2 linked regions of the Caenorhabditis elegans genome follow. The protein of the gene in region 1 interacts with the protein of each later gene in a pairwise test. Each region holds a gene or a part of one and is shown on either strand. Other genes may lie near its edges. The genes, in order: pid-1 and erh-2.

Region 1 (6,886 bases):
TTCCTACTCATCAACTCACATTTTTCTATTTTCTCTTGTGCGAAAAAAATAGTATATTGGGAATATTTATAGTATTGCAACTTTTCTCTTAGTTCGCAGAGTTGCAATACTACTAGATCCCTAATAGAGGAAATATGGTGACCAGCTTTTTGCAATTGGAAAGTTGGGAAAAAAGTATATATATTAATAGACTTACACTCTTGTAGTTCGTAGAATTTTTCAGGAAATCTGACACGCAAGACTTTTTCAAAAAGTTTTTTTTTTTAATTTGGCAATCTGCCAAAACGTTTACTGAACATTTTGAAAACATCTACCAGTACCTTTAACACAACGAAAAATTGTTCTAAGCAATATTAACTGTGATAATTGATGTTAAGACCTGAAATTTAATCACAAATTTCACCTGGAAATGACAGTAATCGGCTTCTAAATACTGTCGACACAAGTGCCATACCTAAGATTCCAATCCTATTACCATGTTTCCCAATTTCATTCTCTTTCGTATCTCTATTTCTCTTCTTTATTATCAATTACTTTTTATCAGTTCTTCGTTTGCTTTAACATCAAGAGCACATAGCGCTCTCTCGTCTCTCTCTCATGCTCTTTTTGAACTTTTACAAAAAACTATTTCCGGTTGTTTTGATTCTTGGAATTTGAAATAATTTTCAGTGATTAAATCATGTCTCTTCTCCGGAGGCCTTGGGTGCTCGTCGTTGGACTTTTATTGATTATGAGCTATGTTGGAGCAGAATGTGAAGAAGAAGAAAAAGAATATCCATCTAGATATCCAATTGCTTATTTTGAATGGGAGAATGTCAAGATTCCAATGACTATTTGTTTATGGTTGATTGGAGCATCGATTGCGAAAATTAGTACGTAGCTGCCACTTTGGGATGCTCAGGAAATTAAACTGCTAATTGAATCAGGGAATTGAAGAGTTGACACTTAAAAAGACTTGTTTCGATAATTGGCATTTTCGGTCTATCATAAATTAAATATAATCTTACAAAGAATATATGTTTTGAGATCAAAATTATTCTGAAAAATTGTAAATCTGTTTGTTTGATAATCAACTTTCCAAGTCTTTCGAAGAAAACTTGAATGTCCTGGAAGAAAAAGAATAAACAATAGTTATTACAATATTAAAAAGACAGTCTAAAAATTGTCAATTTTTCAGTTTTCAACTTGATTCCACATCTCAATGAACTTTTCCCGGATTCCGCGTTACTCATCATGATTGGTTTAATTATTGGAATCATTTTCAAATTGATCGGAGTCAATAAAAATGCATTTTTCCTGGAAAGTGAAGTATTCATGCTTTATCTACTTCCGCCACTTGTTTTTGATGCCGGATACTTTATGCCTGCAAGACAGTTTTTCGATAATTTTGGATCAATTCTTTGTTTTGCAATGATTGGAACTTCATTCAATATTGTCGCAATTGGTTAGTTTTAATATTTTCACAACTAATATATTTATGTACAAAGTAAAACAACATGACTATGAATTTTCAAACTCCAATTAAAAATAATGATAATTTTGTAGCTTGTAACTTCAAAAATAGTAACCTCAAAGGACATTAGCAATTTTAGTGATAAGATAACAATTTGAAATAGTCTAGAAAAGTTTTGAATATCTTTGAAACCGTTATGCCTAGTTAAAGATAAATTTGGAAATAAATCTAATAATTTACAGCTCTCTCCTTATGGGCCATCAGTTTGACTGGATTATTCTCAGTTGAAACTCCACTTATGCATATGCTTCTCTTCGGTTCAGTTGCTGCTGATGTAGATCCAGTTGCTGTAATTGTCATTTTCGAGGAATTGAAAGTGAGACAGTCTCCCAAATTTCTCTGATAACAAAGTCAAAGTTTACAGGTCAACGAAGTTCTTTTTATTGCCGTGTTCGGAGAATCTCTATTGAACGACGGAGTTGCTGTTGTACTTTATCGAATGTTCTTGACCTTCTCTGAAATTGGAACTGAGAATCTGATAACATCTGATTATATCAATGGAGGTGTTTCTTTCCTGGTTGTTGCATTTGGTGGAATTGGAATTGGTCTTCTTTTTGCATTTTTGACAAGTCTTGTTACAAGATTTGCTAGAGATGAAGAGGTCAAAGTGCTCAATTCTGTATTTATTCTCATTCTTCCGTACACTTGTTATCTTTGTGGAGAACTTTTCGGTCTTTCAAGTATTATGGCGTAAGTTAATTTATTTCAGAATTTCTTTTTTATATTGAAACTTTAGCCCTACTCATATTTTCATATTAAATTTTGTATTAAAAATCGGAATTTTAAAATGTAAACTTAAGGTCTAGAGATTGAAGATACTAATATGAAAAGTTTTGGCAAAAACCGTAATTCTCTTCCAGAGCTGTAAAACTGAAACAAAATATAACTAGAACTAATTTTCAATAAAATTTTTGCAGAATTGTATTTTGTGGTGCTGCCATGCGTCAGTACTGCCGTGAAAATGTGGACCCAGACACGGTAAAAGCCACAGAATCATTCATCAAAGTGCTTTCTCTTGCATCGGAAACAGTTATCTTTGTCTTTTTGGGACTCTCAACAGTATCCTCAAACCATCACTGGGACACATCTTTCATCGTTCTTACTGTAGTTTTCTGCTTGATCTACCGTACCCTTGGAGTTGTTGTTATGTGCTATTTCTTGAATAAGTATCGTCTGAATAAGTACACAAAGGTGAGAATTAATTTGTGTTATTTGATAAAAAAAAGTATATGTTTCATACAGGTAGACCAATTTATCATGGCTTATGGAGGTCTTCGTGGTGCCATTGCATACGGTCTTGTCGTTGCAATTCCAGATTTTATACCCGGAAAGAATATGTTTGTCACCAGTTGTATCATTGTCATCTACTTCACTGTATTCCTCCAGGTATCTTTTTAAACAATCTAGCTATATTTTATACCCGTGATGTTTTTAAAAAACATACCTTACTATTACTTTTCAGCATTTCATTTACATAGCCTTCTAATGTGCCTAGTTAAATTTTGAAAAAAAATCTGGATTATTTCCAATACTTCTAAAATAGATTTTTAACATTTTCAGGGAATTACACTGAAACCAATTGCCGAATTCCTACAAGTTGAGAAAAAGAATGTTCACTCAAAGAACATGATTGAGCATATTTACAGCGAAGTGAGTTTTCAGAACCAAAATTCCAGTGAAATGAAAATTATAGCTTATCGACACGACTATGGCTGGAATGGAAGACATTGCCGGTTTCAAGGGGCATCATTGGATTCGTGATTCGTGGAATGCACTCAACAATAATTATTTGAGACCAATTTTAGTTAATAAGAACAATATGAAGGAGATGGATAAGACTAAATTGGTCAGAAAGTACAAGGTATGGTAATACGCTTAATGATATTGTTATTCATAATTAATTTACAGCATTTGGTTGATGAAGATGCAAAGAAGATTGCACGTGGAGATTTAAATAGTAATATGGTATTTACAAAAGCTCTTATTGAACATACAAGAAGTCGAACAAATACAATGATGTAAGTTTCTTCAAACTTCTGAAATCAATTATTCCAAATACTTTCAGCGATGGAGTAAGTTCGACTAGTAAAATAGATTTCACCAAACACATGAAAGAGAATTTTGGAGTAACAGTCTATGATGATCATAGTACTGTACCTATGACACCAACTCATTTATTCCAAGAAACAACTGAAGTTGAATATTCGGTTCGGAGCGAAATCAACGACAATGATGGATTTGAAAACGATGGGTATGAATCGGACGAATCAGGAAGCTTCCACGAAAGAGTATAGGTTTTTTACCTTAATTTACAATTTCTTTCTGTTTTAAACTAGTCTCAAATAGGTAGACTGTGTTTTCTCAATAATGTACATTCATCGAATGAAATTTCTTTTTTTTCTGCATCTATATTCTCATATATTTTGTTAACGTTAATTAACAAGCTAAAAAAAAAGATTTTTACAAGTTTTTTAATTGCGCGCTACCGTAACAAGTTTTTTCGCTTCGAGACCCATGCCTTCAAAATGGACATGTGTCTTTAAAACTTACAGTAACGGTGTTAAAATTATTGCACACAATTTCTTCGGCTGACATTCGAATTTTCCAATTATGTCGGCTAAAAGGGAGTTTTCGCATATTACTTTGGCATCCACACCATTTAAAGTGAGTTTTATCATTTTTTCAGAATTAATAACAATAAAACTTTTTTTCAGAAAAGAATCGATCAGAATTCGTTAAAAACCGACTCGGATATTGAAAAAGACACAAATATCGCACACAAATGCGCTGAACGGTTCAACTACAATACAAATCTTCACAGAAAAGTAATAATCTATTAATGTTGATGACGAAAGCTTTTTTTAATTTTAGGTGACGTTGAGCGATCGTTTCGAGTTGGCAGCCCTTGGATACGAAATGAAAGCAAAGCCGAGAACAATCATCGAAAAACATAATGACTGCGACGAGTTTCATTTTATCTATAGGTTTGTGAAGTACCCACATATTATAACAAATGTTTTAATTTTCAGAAAAGAAAAGAAGAATGATTATGGAACTGGCTCACCACTTTCAGCCGGATTGAGCCTATCTAATCCGGTAAGAAATAAATATTAAATTCACGCATAAAATTATATCATTTTCAGTTGCCAGCTGGACGTGGATTCCTCTCTCCAGCGATTCAGAATACCAGCAACCAGTTCACCTTTTCTGGAAGTCCAAGAATTACCCCCCAGAAGCACACCCCAGTATCGGCCAATCACAAGCCAGCCAGATCCATTTTCGACGACATTCCTTCGAATATTGCATAAGTTTTCACTGTTAATTTACTGTTTTTACTGTTTCATCTTGTTTTGAGTTTATAAAAATGATGTTTCGTTGAATTCAAAAATTTTATAAATTACATTTTAAAAATAACGACATAAAGTTAAAGTTCTCGATCTTCAGTTCCACTCTCATCCGAAGACCTCCAGTTCATCGTTTCTATTTTCACTTTCACAAACATTTCCGAGTTATCAACACCAGCATTCAGTCTATAATCTTCTTCTAGATTAACTGGCTTATCGTAGATGTTAAAGCTTTTTCCTTTTCCATATGTCGTGATCGCCGTCTCTCGTAATTGTTGTTTCCTTTTAGCCCAGGCAATCCACTTCTCCTTTTCACGTTCACTCAAATGATTTTCCAGTTGAACCAGAAGCTCTTCGAATTTGTTCGTGTCCGTGATAATTTCGTTCGGCTCAATAATTTTCCTTTTCTCCATTATTTCCAAAATCATCAGAATTCGATCTTCTTCGTCACCTTCTGCATCGTCAATTATTTCTTTGATCGCTTTATGAACTGCTTCAAAATACTCCAATTCTCGTTCATCAGCTTTTCTTGCCTCAAGTGCCATGTTCTTCGTTCTTCCTTTCCATTTTGTTTCTCCTAAACCAGTCAGTACTGCAATCGGAAGACCTTCTTTTTCATATTTTCCTTGATCTTCATTCATCTCTTTTGCATTCTTTCTTGACTCTTTTCTTCTCAACCAACTTTGTCCTGAGAACTCACTATCCGATTCGTTCTTTTGAATGGATCTCGTCAATGCTCCAAGCTTCCGTCTCCAATTAATTGTTTTTCGATTTGCTCGGTATTCTTTCATTTCCTTTTTCCTTTTTTCTCCCATCACATCCCGTCCATCCAGACGATTTTTAACCAGAATTCTCCTCTTCCACGTCATCACATCAGGTTCTTCATCTGAAGATTTTTCGTCCAAATAAGCTGTTGGGTCAGTTTTGAGATGAATGTCCAATTCTTTTATTTTTCTCCATCGAGTGAAATTCAGGGATTTCAGGAAGATGATCACAACATCTATCATCACATAGCAAACAAATATCAAAATTGACGCCAATACACAGAGGCTCACAATTATTTCCACGAATGTGCATTTTTCTTCGTATTCTTCAAATAAAGTGTCCATTTCAACTGAAACGAATAACCTATTCATTTGATTTTTGAATTTAAACTTACTGTTGGCGCAGTCAGAATATATATGCTTCATCTTGAAAGCTTGTACCACTTTACGAAGTTTTTGAACTTCCCAGCATAGTTGAGGCGTTCTAATCATCCGAATCTTTCCATTAACAGCTCGCAGCGATAATGAAGTTCTTCTCAGATATGGATTGTTTTCAAATATGAGATCACCATCAATGTATTTCAGATTTTTGATTAATTCACAGAAGTCTGATCTTAAATTTTTGATGATCACATTCCCAAGAACTCGTTTCACTTTTCGAAGTCCCGATGCCATTCTCAATACACCACCAGCACTTCCATCAATTACAAGATCTCCTTCCACAACTTCACAATCGTCGAGTTGATGGGATAATTCGGGCCAAACCACCAAATTTTCCAGAATACCCAACGCATTCTGAAAGCCAAATACATATGTATAAATTTATACAATATTCTAAAACTCAATTCTTACTTTTTCCAATTCTATTGATAGCTATGTCATTTAGGTCATCGTGCTCCTGCTGAAATTATTTATTATCAGCAATTTATGAGAGACTTTCAAAAAGATTTAACTAACCATCCACTCAGATTCTGAATATCTTGGAAGTCTTTTCTTATCACCAACAACGGCTACAAATTTCAAACATTGATCGTCTTTTTTCTTCATCTTTAGTAGCTCCACATGTTCAAATTTCTGATTGTATCCATCTATTCTTACAGCTGACAACCTTCTCCTATCAGTTTCATTCCACACGGGGCCACATTCAACTTCTTCTAGACGCGGAAAACTATCCAAATTGGAAACAGTAGAAGTATCATGGATCCAAAGTTGACCATCTTGAATTTTACGAATCGAATTATATTTGCAAAGGCTCTTTTGTTCTG
Region 2 (6,659 bases), on another chromosome or scaffold:
TTTGATGATTCGCAATGTTGAAGTGGACAATTTCAAGAGTTACTTCGGCAAGGCTTCCATTGGACCATTTCACAAAAGTTTCACATCAATTATCGGTCCAAATGGATCTGGAAAGTCTAATTTAATCGATTCGCTCTTATTCGTTTTCGGTTTCCGTGCTTCCAAAATTCGTTCTGCAAAAGTGTCAAATTTGATTCACAAAAGTGCTGGAAGAAATCCAGACAAATGCACAGTCACTATTCATTTTCAGCGGATCGTCGATATTGTAAGTGAATCAGAGAATCTAATAAAATATAAATTTGCTTTTTTTCAGCCTGGGCATTACGAAGTCGTCAAGGATTCTGAGTTCACAATCTCTAGAACTGCTTTTCAAAATAACTCAAGCTCATATGCTATCGATGGTCGACCGGCAACGAAGAATGAAGTTGAAGCACGCCTACGACGCGTTGACATTGATATTGAGCATAATCGTTTTCTAATTCTTCAGGTAAAAGTGACAATAAAACCGGTAATAAACATTTTTTTCAGGGAGAAGTCGAACAAATTGCAATGATGAAACCAGTGAAAACCACCAAAAGTGAAACTGGAATGGTTGAATATTTGGAGGATATTATCGGAACAAACCGACTCGAGCCCTTTGTTAAATTATTCCAGCGACGCGTCAATCGTCTTACTTGTGATCTTTCTCAACAAAGAATCGCTCGTGATCACGCCAGAAACAGCAAAGTAGCTATGGAGAATCCAGTTAGAGCTGCAATTGAGTTTCTGATGAAAGAAAACGAGGCTACAACGATTCATATGAAATTGGAGCAAAGAAGACGGTAGTTCTGAAATATTCCAGGTTAAAATAACATTTAACGTTTTAAGGCAACGATACCTAGATAAAATTGCTCCAAAACAAGCCGAACTTGACAAGATGAAAGAAGAAATGAAATCGATTGCTGAAACGCTGGATACCAACAAAAACGAATACAAACAATCTGAGGAAGCTCAGAAAGTTATGATTGAAGAGCGTTCGAAACTCGACAAAAACTTTGATAGTCTATCTAAGGAATTGAGCGACTTGGGCACTGAAGAGACTCGCAGGAAGGAGGCTTTGAAAAGGCATCAAGCTAATATTTCAAAGGCGGAAGCTGAGAAGGAAAAAGAGGTTAAAAAGCGATCAAATCTGGAAGCAGCACCCGAAAAGGCGGAGAGAAAAATCGCAAAATGTCAGGAAGAAGTGGAACAGTTGCTTGAAATAGAGAAAACAGCTAACGAGGAAGCCGACAAGAATCTTGATGAATTTGAAAAACGCTCTGAAGCGCCAAAAGAAGAACAAAAGAAGATTCAAGAGACTTGGGCGCAGAAGAGCAACGAATTTAACAAAGTTCGAGGTGAAGCAAGGATTGCACGGGAAGATTTCGAGGATTTAAAGAAGCTCGCGAATTCTGGAACGGATAAGCTTATCGAACTGAAGAAACGATTAGAATCTTCAGAAGAAAGTTATGCGAAAGAGAAGGATGAGTTAGATAAGCTGAAGCCGGAATTTGATTCTTGGAATGATAAGTTAAAACAACTGAGTACAGAATTGCCAACTCTTCGAAATACGGCAAGACAGAAGAATCAAGATGTAGGTTTTCAAAAAGCCTGATAAATTTAAATAAATCCTATTTTACAGTTGGCAAAAACGCGTGATCGTCTCGAAACTCTTCGCCAGCAAAACTCGTCTTGCTCAAGTTCGAATAAAGTTATTCAAGCCTTAATGAAGGAAAAAGAAGCTGGAAGAATTAAAAGTTTTCACGGTCGTCTTGGTGATCTCGGTGTCATTGATCCGAAATATGAGGGAGCGATTTGCACAAATTTCGGGGCCCGTCTCAACTATCTTATTGTAGGGAAAGAAGAAGATGCAAAAAATGTCATCAATTTTTTAGTTGCTGTAAGTTTTATAACCCTCATTTTCTAGGAATACATTGGTTTTCAGAATAAATTACCTCGACAAACTGTTCAGCCATTGGACAAAATTAAGTGTGATAAGAGAGATTTAGCTCCCAATCCGACGAACCCATTACCTGCTCCTCGTCTTATTGATCTGATTGATTGTGATCCTGTTCTTAAACCAGCATTCTATGATATGGTGCGTAGTGCAATTGTGGGCGATTCTACCCAGGAAGCTCAGCGAATGCATAGAATGCCCGCTTGTCGTGGTGTTACCGTGTGCACACTAGAAGGTTCTATGATTCACCCATCTGGATCATTCACAGGAGGTGGAAAAACAGTGAAAGGTCTCATTCTCACGGATAAAAATAAGATGGCTAAACAAGTGACACCTGAAGATAAAGCCGCTGAACGAGATTTAGCTGAAAAACTTGGAAAATTGAGAGATGAAGCTGATGAACTTAAAGGACAAGAGCATGAAGTAAGATATTAAAGGATAAAAATATAAAATATAACAAACCGATTTTTAGATGGACGGACAGCTAATCGAAGCACGTCGCAAAGTCGCTGAAATGAGTAATCGTTTGTCTATTGTGACTTCTTCAGTTCAATCTGCAGCTCCAGCAATTGAAACCCTCAAGAAAACGATCGCAAATCAAGAAAAAGAAGCAGCGAAAGTTAAGGTGGATGCGAAGACATTAGAAGATAAACAGAAGATTGTTGAGGAGCTCGAAAAAAGTAATTTTCCGTCATATCATCATGATTTGGGTAATATATTTCATTTCAGAACGAGATGAGTTGGGCGAAGAAGCTGCGAAAGTAAAAGCTCGTCAAGCTGAAATTCAGAGTAAGCTTGACGGAATCTTCAAGGAACTTGTACAATGTCATCGAGACGAAGCCAAAGAGTCTCTTCAGAAACGTCAAAAACTTGAGAAGGATATCGCCAAAGAAACTGCAAATATTTCCAATTCGGGCAGAAACATTGCAAAGTGCGATGAGAACATTTCCAGACACGATAAAGACATTGAGAAGATGAAGAAAAAGTGCGAAGAATTGATGGAGAAAGCAATCGATGATGAGGAAGTGAAATCGAAGAAAGAAACGGTTGAGCGCTTTGAAAAGCAAATCAAGAAGTTACAGACAAAAGGAGAGGAAATGACGAAGAAACAATCGGAATTGTCAGCTGCAGAGACGAAATTGGAGGGAGAATTGAAAAAGTGCAGTGAGGGAATAAAGGAGTTGAAGGAAAGTATGTTGGCAGATCGATTAAAGGTTGAGGATATTGAAAAGAAGGTTTGTTATTAATAAAAATCTATTAAATTAAATGTTCTTTTTTTACAGCTCGCTGCTTTGAAAGTTAATCGAATCCCACGATTCCAATTTCTCATCGAATCAAGTCGGCCAGAAGATCTCGAAATGCAAATCGATGATAAAATGCCGGTGGTTGATGAAAATCAGAGTCCAGAAGAAGTTGAACGACAAAAGAAGCATATGGCCTGCGTGATGAGTGACGCCGCGTACGCTCTCGAGTTCGAAATGCGACAGAAAGTGTTGGAAAACACTGAATCGTATGAGAATGTCGACGGAGAGGACCGGGTACCGGTCGAGCTTCTGTCCGACGAGAAAATCAACGAGATTTCGAGCCGAGACGCTGAAGAAATGCAAATGAAGCTGAAAGTGTGTGAACAACAAGTGGAAGCATTGAAAGCTAAAGTTGATATCTCATCGATTAAAGCTTATGTTGATAAGGTCAAGCAATACAATGAACAAGTGATCAAGTTGACAATAGCCACAGAAGTACATCGAAAACATAATCAAGAACTTCAACGAATCAAGCAGATGCGACTTGAAGAATTCCATGTAAGAAATCAGACGTTGATAGGTTTCTGATTAATTTTTAAAAAATATTTCAGTCTGCATTCGAATTCATTGGAAAACATTTGGTTGCCGTTTTCAAAATGCTAACTGACGGAGGAGATGCCAAATTGGAATACATTGATAAAGACGATCCATTCCGACAAGGAATCAGTTTTATGGTTCGCCCAGCGAAGAAAGCTTGGAAGCAAATTCAATTCCTTTCGGGTGGAGAGAAGACATTGTCCTCATTGGCTCTCATTTTTGCGCTCCACATGTTCAGGTACTAAATACTTTCTTTAATAATTATTATAATCCCTCGTTTAGACCTACTCCATTCTACGTTATGGACGAAATCGATGCTGCTCTCGACTATCGTAACGTTTCGATTATTGCCCAATACGTCCGACAAAAGACTGAAAACGCGCAGTTTATTATTATTTCTTTGAGAAATAATATGTTTGAACTCGCCAATCGTCTCGTTGGTATCTATAAAGTTGATGGGTGTACTCGTAATGTAGCCATTGATCCATTGAGAGTTTGTGAGATGGCGAAGCAAATTACGGACAGTTTGGGGCAGGCCACGTGTACTCTTCCTGATGAAGTAACTCAACGATTCAATGAGACAATGAGTCGGCAGAATAAGGAAATGATTGCACAAGAAAAACAATATCCGAACTTCCCATCATCAAATGAGATTTCAAAGGCCGAAAAGATTGTTAACGTTGAAGGACGTGTCAGGAAAGAATTGATTCAAACTACCCGAGATGTCACTTCAAGACCACAATCCAAAGCAACGACAAGTGGCGATGGAACTGAAAGACCGGCTAGTCGGTCAGCAAGTCGACCCGAATCTCGTATAAATCGTAAGACCAATGGCGTATTTATTATGAAAATGAAACAACTTATTTTTAGAAATGAAATATCCTGCTCCACGCCTTGTCGAAAGATCGTCGTCACAGAATGTTCGTAGCCCGAGAAAGGCACGAAACATAGAGGCCGATGAGGTTAGTTTCATTAAAAAATTTGAGACTCATTTTATTTCCCATTTTCAGACTACTCCACCTTCAAAGCGTTCAAATTCCGCAAGTACACCAAAACGATCTCCAATGAAACCGTTGACACCGTCGAGTAAAAAGAAGGAGAAGGCAATCGTTGATGACGATGATGATATGGAATAATTCATTCAAAAAAGTTCTATCCTCTTTTGTTTTGACGGGTATTAGTTCTCTGATCCCTCGACTCTTCCGTTTATTATTATTTTAAACTCGCGCAAATGATACTCATGTGCAATTCTTTAACCTCTCCCTGTTCAAGAAATCTCTCCCTTTTCCTTTTTATTTATTCTTATTCTCAATTATATTTAATTTGAGGGCCAAAGTTTGAGCCATTTTGCGTTGTATTTTTTTTTCGGCTCCAAACTGTAATTTAATGATATAATTGAGCTATGTGTCTTTTCGTTTGAAATAAGAACGTTTATCGGTGAAGCGTTGACTAGTATATCCCTCATGGTTAATCTGATTCAGATTTCCATTTTCACTATTTATTTTGTGGATTTTCACTGTAACTCGTGTTATGCATGTAATTTCAGATATGTCTACTTCTTCACATACCGTACTTCTGATTCAAACATCACCACGTCTTGATTCACGGACTTGGGGAGATTATGAGAGTGTAACTGACGCTCTTGATGGTAACCATTCCGTGAGAATTATTATGTTTAATGGAATTTTTCAGCTCTTTGCAAGATGTTTGAAGATTTCCTTTCCAAGAAATCAGCTGCTCCAGTCACATACGACGTGTCGCAAGTCTACGAGTTTCTCGATAAGCTCTCCGATGTTTCTATGATGATCTTCAATCGCGTATGTATTATTGATCTGCATATCCTCCCAAATCAATTCATTTTCAGGAAACCGGGCAATACATTGGTCGTACACGTGCATGGATCAAACAACAAGTCTACGAGATGATGCGTGGTCGTTGTCAGCATCCGGAAGGTGGAGAGAAAGTCATTGTTGGGTATTGATTACATTGGAAATATTATTCTCATCTCGCTCTGATCTTCATGTGCTCGCCGGTCTTTTATTTCTTCTTCCTTTTCAATGATTCTTGCTCAATTTACAATTCGATTTCAATTGCGATATTTTTATACTTTCTGATGAATTTCTCACTATGAATATTTCAATTTAAAAAGTCTTCGTTCTTGTTAATTTAAAATACAAATGAGGAAAACTGAGTATCATTTGACATGAAAAAATGGAAACACAAGATAAAAACGTAGATTACTCTACAATTGTCCAGTCTTGTCTGCAAAGCGGGCATTGAGCTCTTGGTTGGTTAGTTGGTGCTGCAATCCACTTATCGATGCAATGACGATGAAAAGCATGGCGACAAATTCCCAGAACCAATGGGCAATCATCTCCTGGAAACTTGCACATGTTGCACGCCGATTCAAATTCCATTCGACAAATTCCACAGGTATCTTCACCTCCTTGTAACCACTTCCACTCTCCACAAACCTGAAAAATGTCAAGTTTTTGAAACTTCAATTTTTTTTGACAAACTAACATGTAACTTTTTGACGGTAATGCTCATCCGAGTGTTGGTTTTTAATAGAATCCCTGGATGATCATCCTGCATCTGAAAACCGAAATATGATACGAATTATTTCTTATATGTCTTACAGTATGAAGTTCAGAACTGCTCATCGACATATTTTGTTGATCATCGTTTCCCTGTGATTCATCATTTTCCTGTTCGTCCATTTGAATTTGTTGCTCCATTTCTATCAAATGTGATATTTTATATTGACAATTAGATTCTGGCTCGTACGACGAAATCATTATATAGGTAGGATTGATAAATAAGGTTGAAACCTGTTCGATAAT

The links.
Region 2: the proteins of pid-1 (region 1) and erh-2 interact in binary tests that used the Caenorhabditis elegans proteins (3 or more experiments, as listed by UniProt).

Annotation. Positions count from the first base shown.
Region 1 is NC_003280.10:7,687,741-7,694,626, reverse strand, and holds pid-1 (Protein pid-1), read left to right. Parts: upstream 1-4,070; 5' UTR 4,071-4,123; coding exon 4,124-4,177; intron 4,178-4,227; coding exon 4,228-4,338; intron 4,339-4,384; coding exon 4,385-4,497; intron 4,498-4,542; coding exon 4,543-4,609; intron 4,610-4,656; coding exon 4,657-4,821; 3' UTR 4,822-4,937; downstream 4,938-6,886. Other genes in the region: nhx-2 (Na(+)/H(+) exchanger protein 2), read left to right, coding at 680-872, 1,178-1,444, 1,696-1,829, 1,878-2,203, 2,431-2,704, 2,756-2,899, 3,074-3,163, 3,207-3,374 and 2 more; F18A1.1 (Receptor L-domain domain-containing protein), read right to left, coding at 4,938-5,971, 6,017-6,416, 6,579-6,886. UniProt on the Caenorhabditis elegans protein: Component of the pid-1 variant of the PETISCO complex which is required for the biogenesis of a class of 21 nucleotide PIWI-interacting RNAs (piRNAs) that possess a uracil residue at the 5'-end (also called 21U-RNAs).
Region 2 is NC_003281.10:4,587,869-4,594,527, forward strand, and holds erh-2 (Enhancer of rudimentary homolog 2), read left to right. Parts: upstream 1-5,362; 5' UTR 5,363-5,364; coding exon 5,365-5,464; intron 5,465-5,508; coding exon 5,509-5,633; intron 5,634-5,680; coding exon 5,681-5,797; 3' UTR 5,798-5,959; downstream 5,960-6,659. Other genes in the region: smc-4 (Structural maintenance of chromosomes protein 4), read left to right, coding at 1-265, 314-487, 529-821, 868-1,612, 1,661-1,918, 1,964-2,398, 2,448-2,655, 2,705-3,210 and 5 more; apc-11 (Anaphase-promoting complex subunit 11), read right to left, coding at 6,054-6,290, 6,340-6,411, 6,456-6,554.